Linked DNA regions of Coturnix japonica. The protein of the gene in region 3 interacts with the protein of the main gene of each other region in a pairwise test. Links are inferred from orthologs where the notes say so. Each region holds a gene or a part of one and is shown on either strand. Other genes may lie near its edges.

Region 1 (4,195 bases), on a different chromosome or scaffold from region 3:
TCGGTGCTCTGCAGCTGCATCATCTGGATCTTAGACACCCAGTCCTTCTCCCGCTGCAGCATGAGGTTGGCGTAGGGGTCCTTGCGCACCTGCTCCTGGTGGCTGCCCCGGTGGCCCCCTCGGTCCCCCACCGAGCCGTTGAGGCCACGGTGCTGGCTGGCAGGAGGCAAGAAGGGCACCCATGAACACACAGGAGCTACAGGAAGGGACAGAGAGTGGTGCACAGGCTACCCCCGGCTGCATGGGCCCCCCAGAACAGCCGGCACCGGAGCATCGCCCACCTCCTCACGCTCCCTCCCGCCCAGTGCTCACTTTCTGTTCTGCTGCTGCCGCTGGTGCAGGAGCCGGCGGTGCTGGGGGTGCAGGTGGGTGGTGTCCAGTCGGAAGGGCTGCGGCCTGTGGGGAGCACAGGGGGTTAGAGGGCCGTGGGGCAGGTGAATGATCATGAGGGGGTCAGTGCCTACCTCAGGCCCTGCAGGTGAGGCATGGGGCCCGGCGGAGGCTGCGGTTGTGAGGGCGGAGTGGGGCCAGCCCCGAAGAAGGCACGAAAGCCACCAGTGGGAGCCATCATCTGCCCCACTCTGCCCTGCAGCAGCTTGGGGTTGACGGAGGGTAGTGGGCTCCCAACAAGGCCTGAGACTCGAGCAAACTGGCTAGGAGAAATTCGGCCAGCCTGTGGGGCAGAGGGAGTGCGGATCAGGCAGGGTCCATCAGAATGCTGGACCCTCGCCCCTATGGGCCTTGGGGGGCACAGAGTCTAGGGCTTTACCTGTGCACCTCCCAGCAGCTGTGCCCGCTGCAGGTGGGTGAGAACGGGAGAGACACTGGTAGGGAACGGGTGGCCCAGCAAGGAAGAGTTCTGCAGGAAAATAAAGGAGCAGACCCCTTGGTCACAGTCCTCCTAGGCAGTATGATGCAGTCGGGGCATCAGAGGGTTATGGGGGTGGGAGCAGGGGGTACCGGTACGTTGCAGAGCTGGTTGGGGGACATCCTCTCGCCGTAGGGAGCAGAGTAGCGCTGCTGCATGGTAGCCCGGATGTGGACAGGCTTTGGACACAGGATCTGAGAGAAGGAAAGCAGTGGGGGTCTGACCGCTGGATCCTCACCAGGGGTGCAGGGGTCTGCACCTGCTGTGAGGAGTTGGGGCCATACCTGCTGGTTAAAATTGGGCATGGTGGCCTGCTTGGGTGGGGTGCCGATGGGGACTGCTCGCACGGGGGGGCTCCCGATGATGGGGGAGGATGAGCGGCGTGGCAGTGCCCGTTCCGAGGGGTCCCGCTCCTCCTCCCGAGCCTGTGGGGGTCTCTGGGGCAGAGCGTAGTCCAGCACGGACAACGATGGCATCTCCTGAAAGTAAAAGTGGCCCTGTGAAAAAGACTCAGAGCTGGACGTGGTGGCAAGGTGCACTGAATATGACGTGGTATAGAACAGAGGAGCCGCCCCATTGCGCTTTCCCAGTGCTGGAGATCCCCACGCCCCAGCCAGGGTTCTCAGAGAGCCCTAAGGATCCTGCGCCCAGCTCTTAATTAAGCCTGACTCTCTGTCAACCAGCAATGAAAACAATTATGGCTCGAGGCACTGACGATCCCAAATCTTGAGTGCTGACACCATCAGGGATTGCGTGGCATCTCCCAGCCCAGAGGGAGCATGTGCAGGGACTAGAAGTGATGTCCAAGAGCAGCTCACCCAACAGCCACAGAATATCCCAAGCTGGGAGGGGCCCACAGGACCACTGAGTCCAACCCCCGGCCCCACATAGGAACGCCCCAAACACAAACCTACATCTGAGGGCATTGCCCCAACACTCCTCGAGCTCTGGTAGTGTGGGGCAGTGCCTGCTTCTCCGGGAAGCCTTCTCCACACCTACAGCCACTGTGGTGAAGAACCTCTTCCTAACACTCAACCCTCCCCCATTCCTGCAACCCTTCGTTGCGTGTGCCCAGCGTTGTGCCCCTACCTGTGTGAGCAGTGGCGTGCGGATGCGCTGCAGCACAGAGGGGCCATCCCAGATGCTGGTGTTGAGCGTCACGCTCTGTGCAGCAGACCCACGGGTGTGCACGGCTCTCATGATGGCAGGGTCCTCCAGCTCGCTCTCGATCACCAGCCGTGTCAGTCGCTCCGCCAGCGCATCCTCAGGTTCCCCCAGCAGCTCCGCATCCTCACTGCTGGGTTGGGCCTGCTGCCCTGAGCCCACGGGTTTCTCCTCCAGCTCAGCCAACCGCTCGTGGGCCTCCTGCCAGTCATCATCTGCACGGGAACGGCGGGCTGAGCGCAGCGGCAGAGAGCACCGGGTGGGCAGTGTGGACAAGAGACAGAGAACTCACCGACAGCCCCGGCCCCAAAGGTGTCATCGTTGAACTGATCGATGTCCTCATCCTCCTCGCCCAGCACCTGGAAGCCGTCCTCCTCCTCGTCCAGCGGGCACTCCTCCAGGGACTGCAGCGGCAGACGGTGCCTTCGTACCACCACGACTACCGAACCGGCGCTGCCACCGAGGCCAAGGCCCAGCCCTGCCCGGCAGCCCCGGTCCCGAGCAGCGGTCCCAGCACAGCGCCCACACCGACTCTCGGCCCTGAGCCCACAGCCTCGACCCTCAGCCCGACCCGCGGCCCCACGGCCCTGACCCTGAGCCCGTAGCCGCGGCCCCGAACCCAACTCGGAGTCCCGAGCTCCGACCCCCGCGGCCCGACCCCGCCCCCTCAGCCCCCTCAGCCCCTCCCCCCGCTCACCGGGTACCGGAACATGGCGGCGGCGGCGGCGCCCCCCGCCCGCAGGCTCCGCGCGGCCCGCTACGGCCCCGCCGCGCATGCGCCGCCGCGGGCGCACGCGCATGACGTCACCTCCTCCGCCCGTCCGTGCGGTGCGCATGCGCAAATGAGCTCCGCCCAGCCGAAGGCTCACAGAGCGCCGCGCCCCACTGCGGGCGGCTCTTAAAGGGACAGGCCGCCTTTTTCTGACCGCCTCCGTGCACTCGTGCGCCGTCGTGCCCCGGCCGCGCGCTGCTGCCCCAGCCGTGCCCCACACGCCAGCCACGGCTCAGCGATGTCCGCTGGGTCTTTCCCTCCAGTCGTGTCCCCCAGCCTGTGTCCCCCCACGCGGGACCCCTGCCCACGGACACGTCCCCCAGCTCACGTCCCCTAACCGTGGCCGTTCTCCCAAGTTCGAGCCCCCTATACACGGCCACGTCCCCCCAACCTGCATCCCATAGTTCATGTGCTCTACCCACGGCCATGTCCCCCGCTTCATGTCCCCTAACCATGGCCACAGCCCCGGCCCGTGTCCCCTACTGTGAGCCACATCTCCAACCCGTGCCTCCCATCCATGGCCACGTCCCACGGCCCGCGTCCTTCACCCTCAGCCACATCCCCACCTTGTGTCCCCCCGCCCGTTCCCTCCACCCATAGCCGTGTCCCCACTTCGTGTCCCAACACTCCCATCCCTTATCCATGTCCCTGTCCTCCAACCCACATCCCACCACTCACATCCCCTACCCATGGCCGTGTCCCCCTGTCCCTCACCACCCCCTGTCCCCCATCCTGTGCCGGGGCCACCTGTAGGCTGTGGTGACACTGCTGTCACTGGCACCTTTGTCACCCCCCCTCGGGTGCCTGGATCACACGTGGCTGGTGCGGGCAGCCCCGCCTCAGCCTTGCCCTCGTCGAGTGCCCATCAGCGGGGATTAGCGGGGCTGATGTAGGACGGCAGCGGGCGGGCGGCGAGTCCTGGCAGCCCGGCACCATGCGGGACCGGCTGGAGCAGCTCCGGGCGGTGAGGGGTGCAGGGCAGCAATGGGGGTCACCCGTGGGGGTACCCAATGATGGGTGCTGCCCTACGGCTGGAGGGGACCGGGGGTTTGAGCCCTGGGAGGGTTTGGGTTGGCTGCGTCCTCGCTATGGGGCGCAGGAAGGGATGTGGGACACGCGTGGGGCCCCCTGTCCTCCTTTAGGGTTCTTGGGGTGCTCCTCACGCTGCGCTGCCCCGCGGCCTCCGTGCTGCCCGTGGGGGATTTAGCGGGGATTAAGGGAGGCGCTGCCCACCATCGGGGGGGAGCGGGGGATTAGTGTTATTTTTACCCCAGAAATGGGAGGGGTGGGGGTGGCCGGGGCACGACACCGCGGTCATGGCAAGGGGGGATGCGGGGCAGAGGGGAGCTCGCGTGGAGCCGCCGTGGGGTGAAATTGGGGGCCACAAAGCC
Region 2 (4,248 bases), on a different chromosome or scaffold from region 3:
CTTCCAATCCATGCCAATCTATGGGTCTATGACAAGCGTGATATTACTGTAGTAACACTCACTGCCACATGTGTGTGCATCGTGCACTCTGGCAGATCCAGCCATTGGGTGGTAAGGAGAAGATGCAAAACCTTCAAGCTCTGCACTTGCCAGGGTTGGTTCCTTGTCCTTCATATGGTGCCCATAGAATTTGCAGAAACCTAATTCTAAAAGCAAGGTCTCAATACTGTTTATATAGCAAAATATGGCACAGAAACCCCTTTGGCAGAAGAACTACCTCGAATTAAACATGCACAGTCTTAGCATAGCTATAACCGTGCCTGTGCCAGCAACACGCATTCTTTGCTATTGCACATTAATTTCTTGAGAGTAGTTTTCCAACATCATAAGGATTATGCAGTCACTTTGGCTGTCATTTCTGGGCAAGTTGTTTGAAATTCAGCAGATTTTGGAGGCATTGCATTCCTGCAGGCTGAACGACAGCAGGGCTGAATGCCTGCCCAAAGAAGCAGCTACAACACCCCTTGCACTATGGTTAGCACTCTGATCCAAACCAAAAAGAGAAGGAAAACAGGCATCCAAAGTGCATTAGGCTCACAAAATGCAGGGTATAAATAAATCCTTCAGGTTCCTCTGGTTATAACCTCTTAACTCAGTACCTCCTTCACTGCAGCCTCTCCCCTCCAACGATGAGGCAACAATTTCCTAGAGGGTGTAACGCTGGTTGGAAGCATTGCAACACGGCCACTCTCCTCCTGCATGTTACTCCCTGGGTGACTGAGCTGGGTTGGATGCCAGAGGGAATGCAGGAAGGTGGAAGAGACAGCCAGGACAGGACCCTGCCCTGCTCTGCAGGAGCTCCATTGTGTGCAACAGCAGGAAAATACAGAGAACGTTCCTGAAGGTCACAGTGACACCAGGACGAGTGCCAGTGTATTCAGGCTGCCTGGAGAGAGGCTGACGCTGAGCCAAACCTCACCTGCCAGCCTCTTTATTCACCCATTTCTTATTAGGGCAAAGAGAGGCGTCCTTACATGGAAATACATTTTGCTTGTGCTCCTCTTCTTGGATTTTTGCTTTTTGTGGCATTGCAGGTGCTGCTGTTCCACATGAGCCCAAGAGCAGAACTGTTGTGTCTGTATTCACTGAGATGACTCCTGCTGAAACGGATCTGCCGAAGTCACAAAGTCAGGTCATTCCATCTTAAAACTGGCAACTGCGTTTGGTTAGGACACGGAGAAGGAGCCTAAACCATAGAACATAGAACCATAGAACTCCAGGATGCTCCTTAGAAGTTTGCAGAAGGATTTGCCCCTGCTCACTACAGAAGCAAAAAGCCTTAGGAGGACTTAGAGCACTGATTTCACCCTGCTGGCAGCTTTGATCATTTGATTTAAGTCCTGACAAATCAAACAGCACGTGGCGCACTCCAGTATTTGTAGAACCCCCAGGCATTCCAGCAGCAGAACCCCTCCCCAGGCAGCTGTTGCTAGGAGCTGAGCTGTGTTTTGTAGGCTATGGGATGGCGGAGCAACGCGGGTGTCTGAGTCGCTCATGGGGCTCCAGCACCTCTCCATCAATGCTAACAGGCCATCGGCACTCCTCTCCACAACCTGCTCCATCCCAGGGTGCTTTTGTGCTTCCCAAGCTGATTACGACTTATCCAGTAGTCAAGTGCACGTCCTCCAAGCTGAAAAAAGGACAGGGAGCAATTAAAGCTCTCTTAAAATATTTAGAAACAGCCGAGAGCAGGTTAGAATTTCCATTCTTTCTGTTAGCACGGGGTGTGGGTTTGGCCCCCTGTAGGAAGGGGCTGAAAGGCAGCAAGGTATGGCTGTGCAGAATGGCTCCCTGATCTCCATGCAGCCCTTTGGACACTTGTCCTTGTGTCAAACAGTTGCCAACCCTGCATCCAACACCTTTCCTGGGTTATGGCTTCTGTCTCCATAAGGAACAGCTCATTTTTTGGTTTTCACATCAATTGCAAAGAGCAAGAAAATGGGTTTTTAAACTTTGAAGCTTCCTATCATTTATCCCAAGGCTGAACACAAAAGACAAGGACCACTCACACGCTTCCCAAGCACTGACCGGGATCTTTCCTCTTGCAGCCCTGGCTGTGCAATGGCCTCTGTGTCATCCAAGAGGAAGAAGAACACCAGAGCTAAAGGACGGGGCCATCAACAACAGCAGGCACAATCCTTACCAGCTGACAGAGGTAAATCTTGTGCCTTCAGTTTTAACCCATAGCTGTGCCAAGTCTTATAGCCAAGGTCTGAGTTGATATGGAGATCAAGAGGGTTACATGTTCTACACCTGGCCACCAACTTACAGTGTTCTTGCAGGCAGACTGCACACAATTTATACCTTTTTCAGGTAAACCCCGTGAAGGTGTTTTTCCTACCTCTGAAGTGGAGCTTGACAAAACCAGGCCTTGTGGTCTTCCAGAAAAGCAGTCAGAAGAACTGATACGAGAAGTGCCAATGGCATCAGGACCATATTTTTATATCAGTGGATCTAATGGAGAAGGACTGTAAGTAGGTCCTTAGCAATATATGACAGCACATGAAACTGCACTACAACATGTAATCTTTTCCCTTTGACTTTATGTGTTGTCAGAACAAAGCATTCAAAGAATAGTTTAAGAACAATTCAAATGGCAAGTGCTTAATGGAAGACCAACTGTAGTAATGTAGCTGTTAAGCAAGAAACTAAACACTTATACTTGTTAAATGAGAGTTCTCTGGGTTTTACATAGTAAATCAGCCAGCATCATCTCAAGCTCAACTGCAGTTGATCAACCTTTCATTGCCATAAATGCATTAAAAGCAAAAAATAAGAAGACTTTTATGCCCAAGAAAAATAGTCAGATCAGAAATTCCATCATTTACTTCCTGAGTTCTACAAATGGCTTTTCCTATTGTGATCTGTCATCTCTTCCTGCACATCTAAGCACAGAGGCTCCTTACTGACTCCGGACCATAATGCACAACATTCCTATTCTACGGGTACCACGTCCATCTTAATTGAAGCAACCCTGCTGAAACGGTACAGGTTCTCATTAACACTGCAGAATTACAACATCCTGAACATCCTCAGTCATGAGTTCAGAGCAGCAGGTCCACTTGCAGCCACTCTAATTAATGTTTCCCACCTTATTCCCCACCCAGGGGTTCTTGGGGGTGTTAAGTCAAACTCCCAGGGAAACTGATAGGAGTTGAGGGGATGTGAACTAATTCAGTCTTCATTGCTGGAAAGGAGGCTATTTTGCTATTTTGTTTTCCATACGCAGTGTGAGCATCTATTGCCAGAGCAAAGGCTGGCAGCGTATCTATGACAACAGAAGACAGGATTACGCACTGAAATGGTGTGAGATCAAGTGCCGAGAGACCTATTACCATTTCAAAGAAGGTAGAGGTGCCAGTGGGCCTCGAGTGGGAGAGGGCAGTGGGAAAAATGAGAGAATGATGGACTTGTGGCTCTTAGGGCAGAGGTCACCTGAAGGGTAGGAGAAGCAGGTAACCTCAACTTCTTGGCAGTCCTCAGTGGGGATATTGGAGCTGGATTGCCATGGTGATTAAAGAAAGGGTTTTAGACAAGAGAATGGCTTGGAGAGAAAAGATACCATTGAAATGAACTGCACACAAAGCATCATAATCACTTCTGAAATGCAGCCCTCCCTCTGTGGGTTGGAGCTCACAGGCGGCAATAGGACTGACACTGTTCTGCTGCACAGCAGCAGCTGGCACCTCACCAGCCTGGCCAAGACTTTGCATACATATAGAGGGTGCCCCACATACACAAGCACCCCCTGCTACTGCCTGCAAGTAAATTGGTGAGAGTCAGCAGTGCCCAGATCAGCATCATACCCTCCAGGTTCTGCTGCATGAGATGAGGACAAGCTGTCTTTTCCCCTCATACAGGCGAACAGCTGCTCTACCAGATTCCCAACAACATTGTCCTTACCAGCAAGATTGGGCTTTTATCCTGCCTGCGAGAGCAAGAGCGAGTGATGAGAAAGATCAACTTGAACTCTGGTCCCAAGTAAGAACTCTCACCTCATTGCACCTTGAGCAGAAACACGCACCAAGCAAAAGTGAGAGCGCATAAAAAAGAGGGTGCAAAGTATAGGGGGATTTTTTTCCCCCAGAGGAATGAATGTGTCAGACAAGATTTTCAGCTTGTATTTCAACTCTCCCGTAGGTTACTGAAGATGGAAGATTTCTTTCCAGAATCTTTTCGCTTGGACTT
Region 3 (4,223 bases):
TGGATGAGGGTTCAACTAGAAAGTCATAAAGAGGGTATATATAAATGCAGATGAAACTGCAAACTGGTGCTTGTGGGCCTCGTGTTACCTCGTTGTTGTAGCATTGCTTTTCTTGCTCTGTGTGCTGTAGCCCCGTCCCAACCTATCAGGATCACAATGGGGCACCTGCGTGGAGGCAGAGTTCTCCACCAAACAAATGTATATCAAATATACGTCCACAATAAGACCAATAAACCAACCAGCCCCACATTGATGACCATAAAACCCAGCTGACTTGGTCCATGGCCACACAGACGCCTAACTGCTTACCCAACTGCAGGATGAAGGCTCCAGAAACAATGTCTCAAAACCTCTTTGCCCCAAGAAATAAAGGTCAAAACAAATACACTACAACTCAAACATGAAAGCATGACAGGAAATGACTAACTGCACACTGAGGCCAACTTACCTTCGTCTTAGATCTACCCACTACACAAGGATCCTGCAATACAAACAGACACCACAGCTTCCATGCAGAAAAAAGAATCAGGCTGCTCGAGGTGCTTGCTATGGGGTGCAGACATCACTGCAAAACCAAGGCATTCTGCTTTATTTCCCTAATGTTCTCTTACAATTCCAGCTCTGTGCTGTAGTTTTTGTTTCCTCTAGCTGTTTTGAGGATGAAGCCATTCTTAGTTCAGAAGCAATGAATAATTTAAATTTCTTTTTACAAAGCGTTTTGTAGTCCCTGAATAAAAGGTTACGTCTCTGTTTTGCACAGGAGCCTCAAGCTTGTCTCTAAGCATGCATGAAAATCAACCCATGGACAGGCTGCAAGGGGTAGATGCAGCCATGTGCATGCGTTGTGCATCTATGCTGAAAAGCAATCCTGCATGGTCTGAGCCCAGCCCTTATTAATCACCTTCACCTGAGAGCCTGGCAGCCCTTTAGTTGACTAAGGATCCATTCAACTTCAGTTTTCGTTGTTGATGCTTTATTAATACACAAAGTAACTTTGATCTACAGGAGCAGGAAAAGACATCTAGAACACACATCTTATTTAACAATTGCCTATTGCTTCAAGGGCAAAAGGATTTTCTTTTTCCCCCAGACCAAATATTCTCTTTCTGAGTCAATTCCCTGCCTCCCAAGCTGTAGCATTCATAGTCTCCTATATAACAGTGATGCTGAGGAAGGTGGATGGCACCGCATCTGCATACAAAACCAGCAGAGCAAAGCAGAAGCCAAGGTGATAGGGGAGACACTGCACTGCCACTTGCATGCCATGCAGCTGCCTTCTTGCTGTCTGATCACCAGCCAGGGACCTCTTTGCCTCTGCCCTCACTTCTTGTGCAACAGCCTGCAGTCCTGCCTACCACACTTCTTACAGCTGCTGTGTCCCTCGCAAGCAAAGGCAATTACAGCTTTGTAACCCGCAGCATGTGAGCACTTCTAATTCTAGGGAAGGACTGAATCCTGGCAAAGACAAACTGTCTCAGGTTACCATCCCAAGAACCACTCGCCTGTGGTCCGAAACACAACTAAGATCTTCTGTTGCCTGGGAGATGCTGCATGTGCCAGCTGCAGCCGTCCCTAAAAAGGCAGCACTCCCAAGGACAGCGAGCCAAGCTAAGAAGGACATGGCACGGGAAGAGGGAGGTCTCCTGGAGCCATTCTCCTGCTAATGTAGACATAAAGTAAGTTTCAACCTTCTAGAGTTAATCATCTCTCTGCTGGGTGATCTGCTCATCAATAGTCTCCTTGGTAAAGCACTTCTCACTTAGACCCTTAGTGCTGCACGCTTTAAGCTGCAGAAGTTGTGATTATTGTGTATTCTACATAAAACCTCGAAGAAATAACCCACTGCAAGCACTAAAAATAAATGTGCAGAAACCCACATGCTTTCCAGTTCCTGCCATACTTTGAGATGCAGTCTTTGGTGGTACTTCTGAAAGGGAAGACTTGCCACATTCAAAACATACAGTGAAAGCAGCTATTATAAACGGGCACAAGCACTCACAAAATAAAGCGTAAATGCCTCTACATCACTAACACACTAAACATGGAGTTTCCTGTGTGTGGAGGAGCCACAGCCCCAAGCCCTGCTGCTGGCAGGTGCCACTGCAAAGTACTTTTGCTGACTGCCCAGAAACTCAAGAACAGCTGAAAAGTGCTCCTTTGCAGAACAAACACACAGAGATAAGAAAGAGTAACACTAACCAGCCTTTGATCCAGGCCTGTGGCTCATTCACAGAACCTCATAATCATGCTTAAATCTGAGATATACAAGGAGACCCACATAAAAAGGGATAGATCCAAAATTGGACTCTTCGAAACTTCTACATGAAGACTTCCACACAAAGAAGAGCTGATGTCTCAGCCCATGAAGCAGAGGTTGCAAAAGTACGTCCCATTTCTTTGCTGTGGAGGAGATGCTCCACACTCTGTCCCTGAAGGAAGAAGCAATAGCAAGCTGCTCTCTGCCAAGAGTTGCAGAGTTCCCAGGGCTGGCTGCATGCTCCTGCACTCCAGCACATCGGGCTTCACTACAGCAAGAAAACACCAGCACCCAACAAACCTCCCTCTGCTCTCCTCGTAGGTCAGACCAAAAACCAATCTACTCACAGTCAACGTGCCCCAAGCTGGCAGAGATTGGAACCCAAACCTCCAGGCTGTTGTTACCTTGCATTGTGGCAGTGAAGGATCTGTGCAGAGCCTGGGGATGTGCTGGGGCAGCTCCCACTGACTCACAGTGCAGGCACTATCAGCAGGTGCAGTGCAAGGGACTCTGTCCTGTAAGCACCTCACTTGTAGAACGCTCGAGTGCTCGCCCAGGAACAAAAGCAGCCACATCATAAACCAGATGGTGACATCAGCACTGGGATTTTATTTCCTGCACAGGTTCAGATTTCATTACTTGTGACATGAAATTGGACTCTTACAATTCGAGTTACTCTATATTTTCATAAAGGGCGCAGGAATCCCTGATTCCAATTTGTTGGATATAAATTGCTTCTCAACCTCCTGAAGACAGCAGCGCTCACTGATTTCCACTGGAAAGGGTCAGTGCAATTTGTACAGCACCATCCACTTGGGGCCCAGCTGTTCAAAATCCCTGGACTGCTCTTTTCCCTTCTTATTCCAAGTTCTGCTCTGCATCTCCTTCCGAAATTAAAGCTCAGAGTTATCAAGGATCTGACAGCACGTATTTCATCACTCCTGGGTTGAGTCATTGTTTCGGAGCACAGAGCATGATGCAGTGTGTGCTTATGGTCCAACACCTCTGCCAACATGAAATGCATTTCTGATTTTCCACATACAGCTGCTCAGGCTCTCCAAAAGCAACACATCCAAGACTTCTATACAAGCCCAACAGGCCAGAATTAATCTTCCTGTGCATTACATGATGTTTGCACAGGGTTGAGAAATACTAGAAATAAAAGTTCTCTTGGCTGAGTTACATGCAACACAGTGTACTTTCTGCTATTAATGACTTCAATAAGTACCTCTGACACTTCACATATTCCAGAAACCTCTTGTTTAGGCATCACAGCAGTTTTCTTAGTAGAAAAGTGTTCACTGAGCTAAAGTTAGCCACCGAAATGTCTTAGATTTTAATTACTGCCTTTTCTATTTGAAGTTTAATATGCTTGGAAAAGAGGCAGGTAGTAACTAACCCTCACCCAGGACACAAACTGAAGATTAGTTTGCTTGGAAGGAGGTTTAACTCCCTGACATCCCATCACAAACAACACAAGTACATATGGTGACCCAGTGCAAGACCATAAACACCAGAGTGCTCAGTTTCCACAGACCTGACATCCCATTCCTCTCACAGGATTCTTGCTTGGTCAGTTCCCCAGCAGCTGTCACCAGCAGGAGCACTACTTACCCTTACAACACCTGCAGGGCACGGAGCTATTTTATCTCCCTCCTGGGATTTGCACCTCAAAGGTTTTTGGCACAAGGCAAGCTTGGCAGGGCTAAAAAAGGAACTAAGATCCACGTTGCTGGCCAGCAACGGAACCAGAAAGCTTCCTTCTCCTCCTGAGATGCAGCAGCATGGAAAACATGACGTCCACTCATGCATGCTACAGATCTATATCCAAACAGAGCCCACAAGCTGTTCTATGTGAGAAGCAGGGGGGAAAGAAAGGTTGAGGTGAGCAGACCCAGCACTGTGGCTGAACCTGGGCTCCAGACCTTTCACCTGAGCAATGAGGAGTCTTTGTGTGTAGCTCCCA

The links.
Region 1: the proteins of FHL3 (region 3) and PATL1 interact in binary tests that used the Homo sapiens proteins (3 or more experiments, as listed by UniProt). The two-hybrid records come from large-scale screens. The link is inferred for Coturnix japonica from reciprocal best matches to the Homo sapiens genes FHL3 and PATL1.
Region 2: the proteins of FHL3 (region 3) and TTLL10 interact in binary tests that used the Homo sapiens proteins (3 or more experiments, as listed by UniProt). The two-hybrid records come from large-scale screens. The link is inferred for Coturnix japonica from reciprocal best matches to the Homo sapiens genes FHL3 and TTLL10.

Annotation. Positions count from the first base shown.
Region 1 is NC_029520.1:202,683-206,877, forward strand, and holds the start of PATL1 (protein PAT1 homolog 1), read right to left. Parts: upstream 2,801-4,195; 5' UTR 2,745-2,800; coding exon 2,730-2,744; intron 2,437-2,729; coding exon 2,325-2,436; intron 2,248-2,324; coding exon 1,958-2,247; intron 1,348-1,957; coding exon 1,153-1,347; intron 1,063-1,152; coding exon 961-1,062; intron 860-960; coding exon 770-859; intron 674-769; coding exon 465-673; intron 397-464; coding exon 313-396; intron 157-312; coding exon 1-156. Other genes in the region: syntaxin-3-like, read left to right, coding at 3,739-3,768. UniProt on the Homo sapiens protein: RNA-binding protein involved in deadenylation-dependent decapping of mRNAs, leading to the degradation of mRNAs. Acts as a scaffold protein that connects deadenylation and decapping machinery.
Region 2 is NC_029536.1:2,184,902-2,189,149, reverse strand, and holds the start of TTLL10 (inactive polyglycylase TTLL10), read left to right. Parts: upstream 1-1,448; 5' UTR 1,449-1,522; coding exon 1,523-1,752; intron 1,753-2,108; coding exon 2,109-2,215; intron 2,216-2,373; coding exon 2,374-2,530; intron 2,531-3,289; coding exon 3,290-3,408; intron 3,409-3,920; coding exon 3,921-4,041; intron 4,042-4,200; coding exon 4,201-4,248. UniProt on the Homo sapiens protein: Inactive polyglycylase.
Region 3 is NC_029538.1:3,109,474-3,113,696, reverse strand, and holds the start of FHL3 (four and a half LIM domains protein 3), read right to left. Parts: upstream 2,801-4,223; 5' UTR 2,669-2,800; coding exon 2,662-2,668; intron 1-2,661. UniProt on the Homo sapiens protein: Recruited by SOX15 to FOXK1 promoters where it acts as a transcriptional coactivator of FOXK1.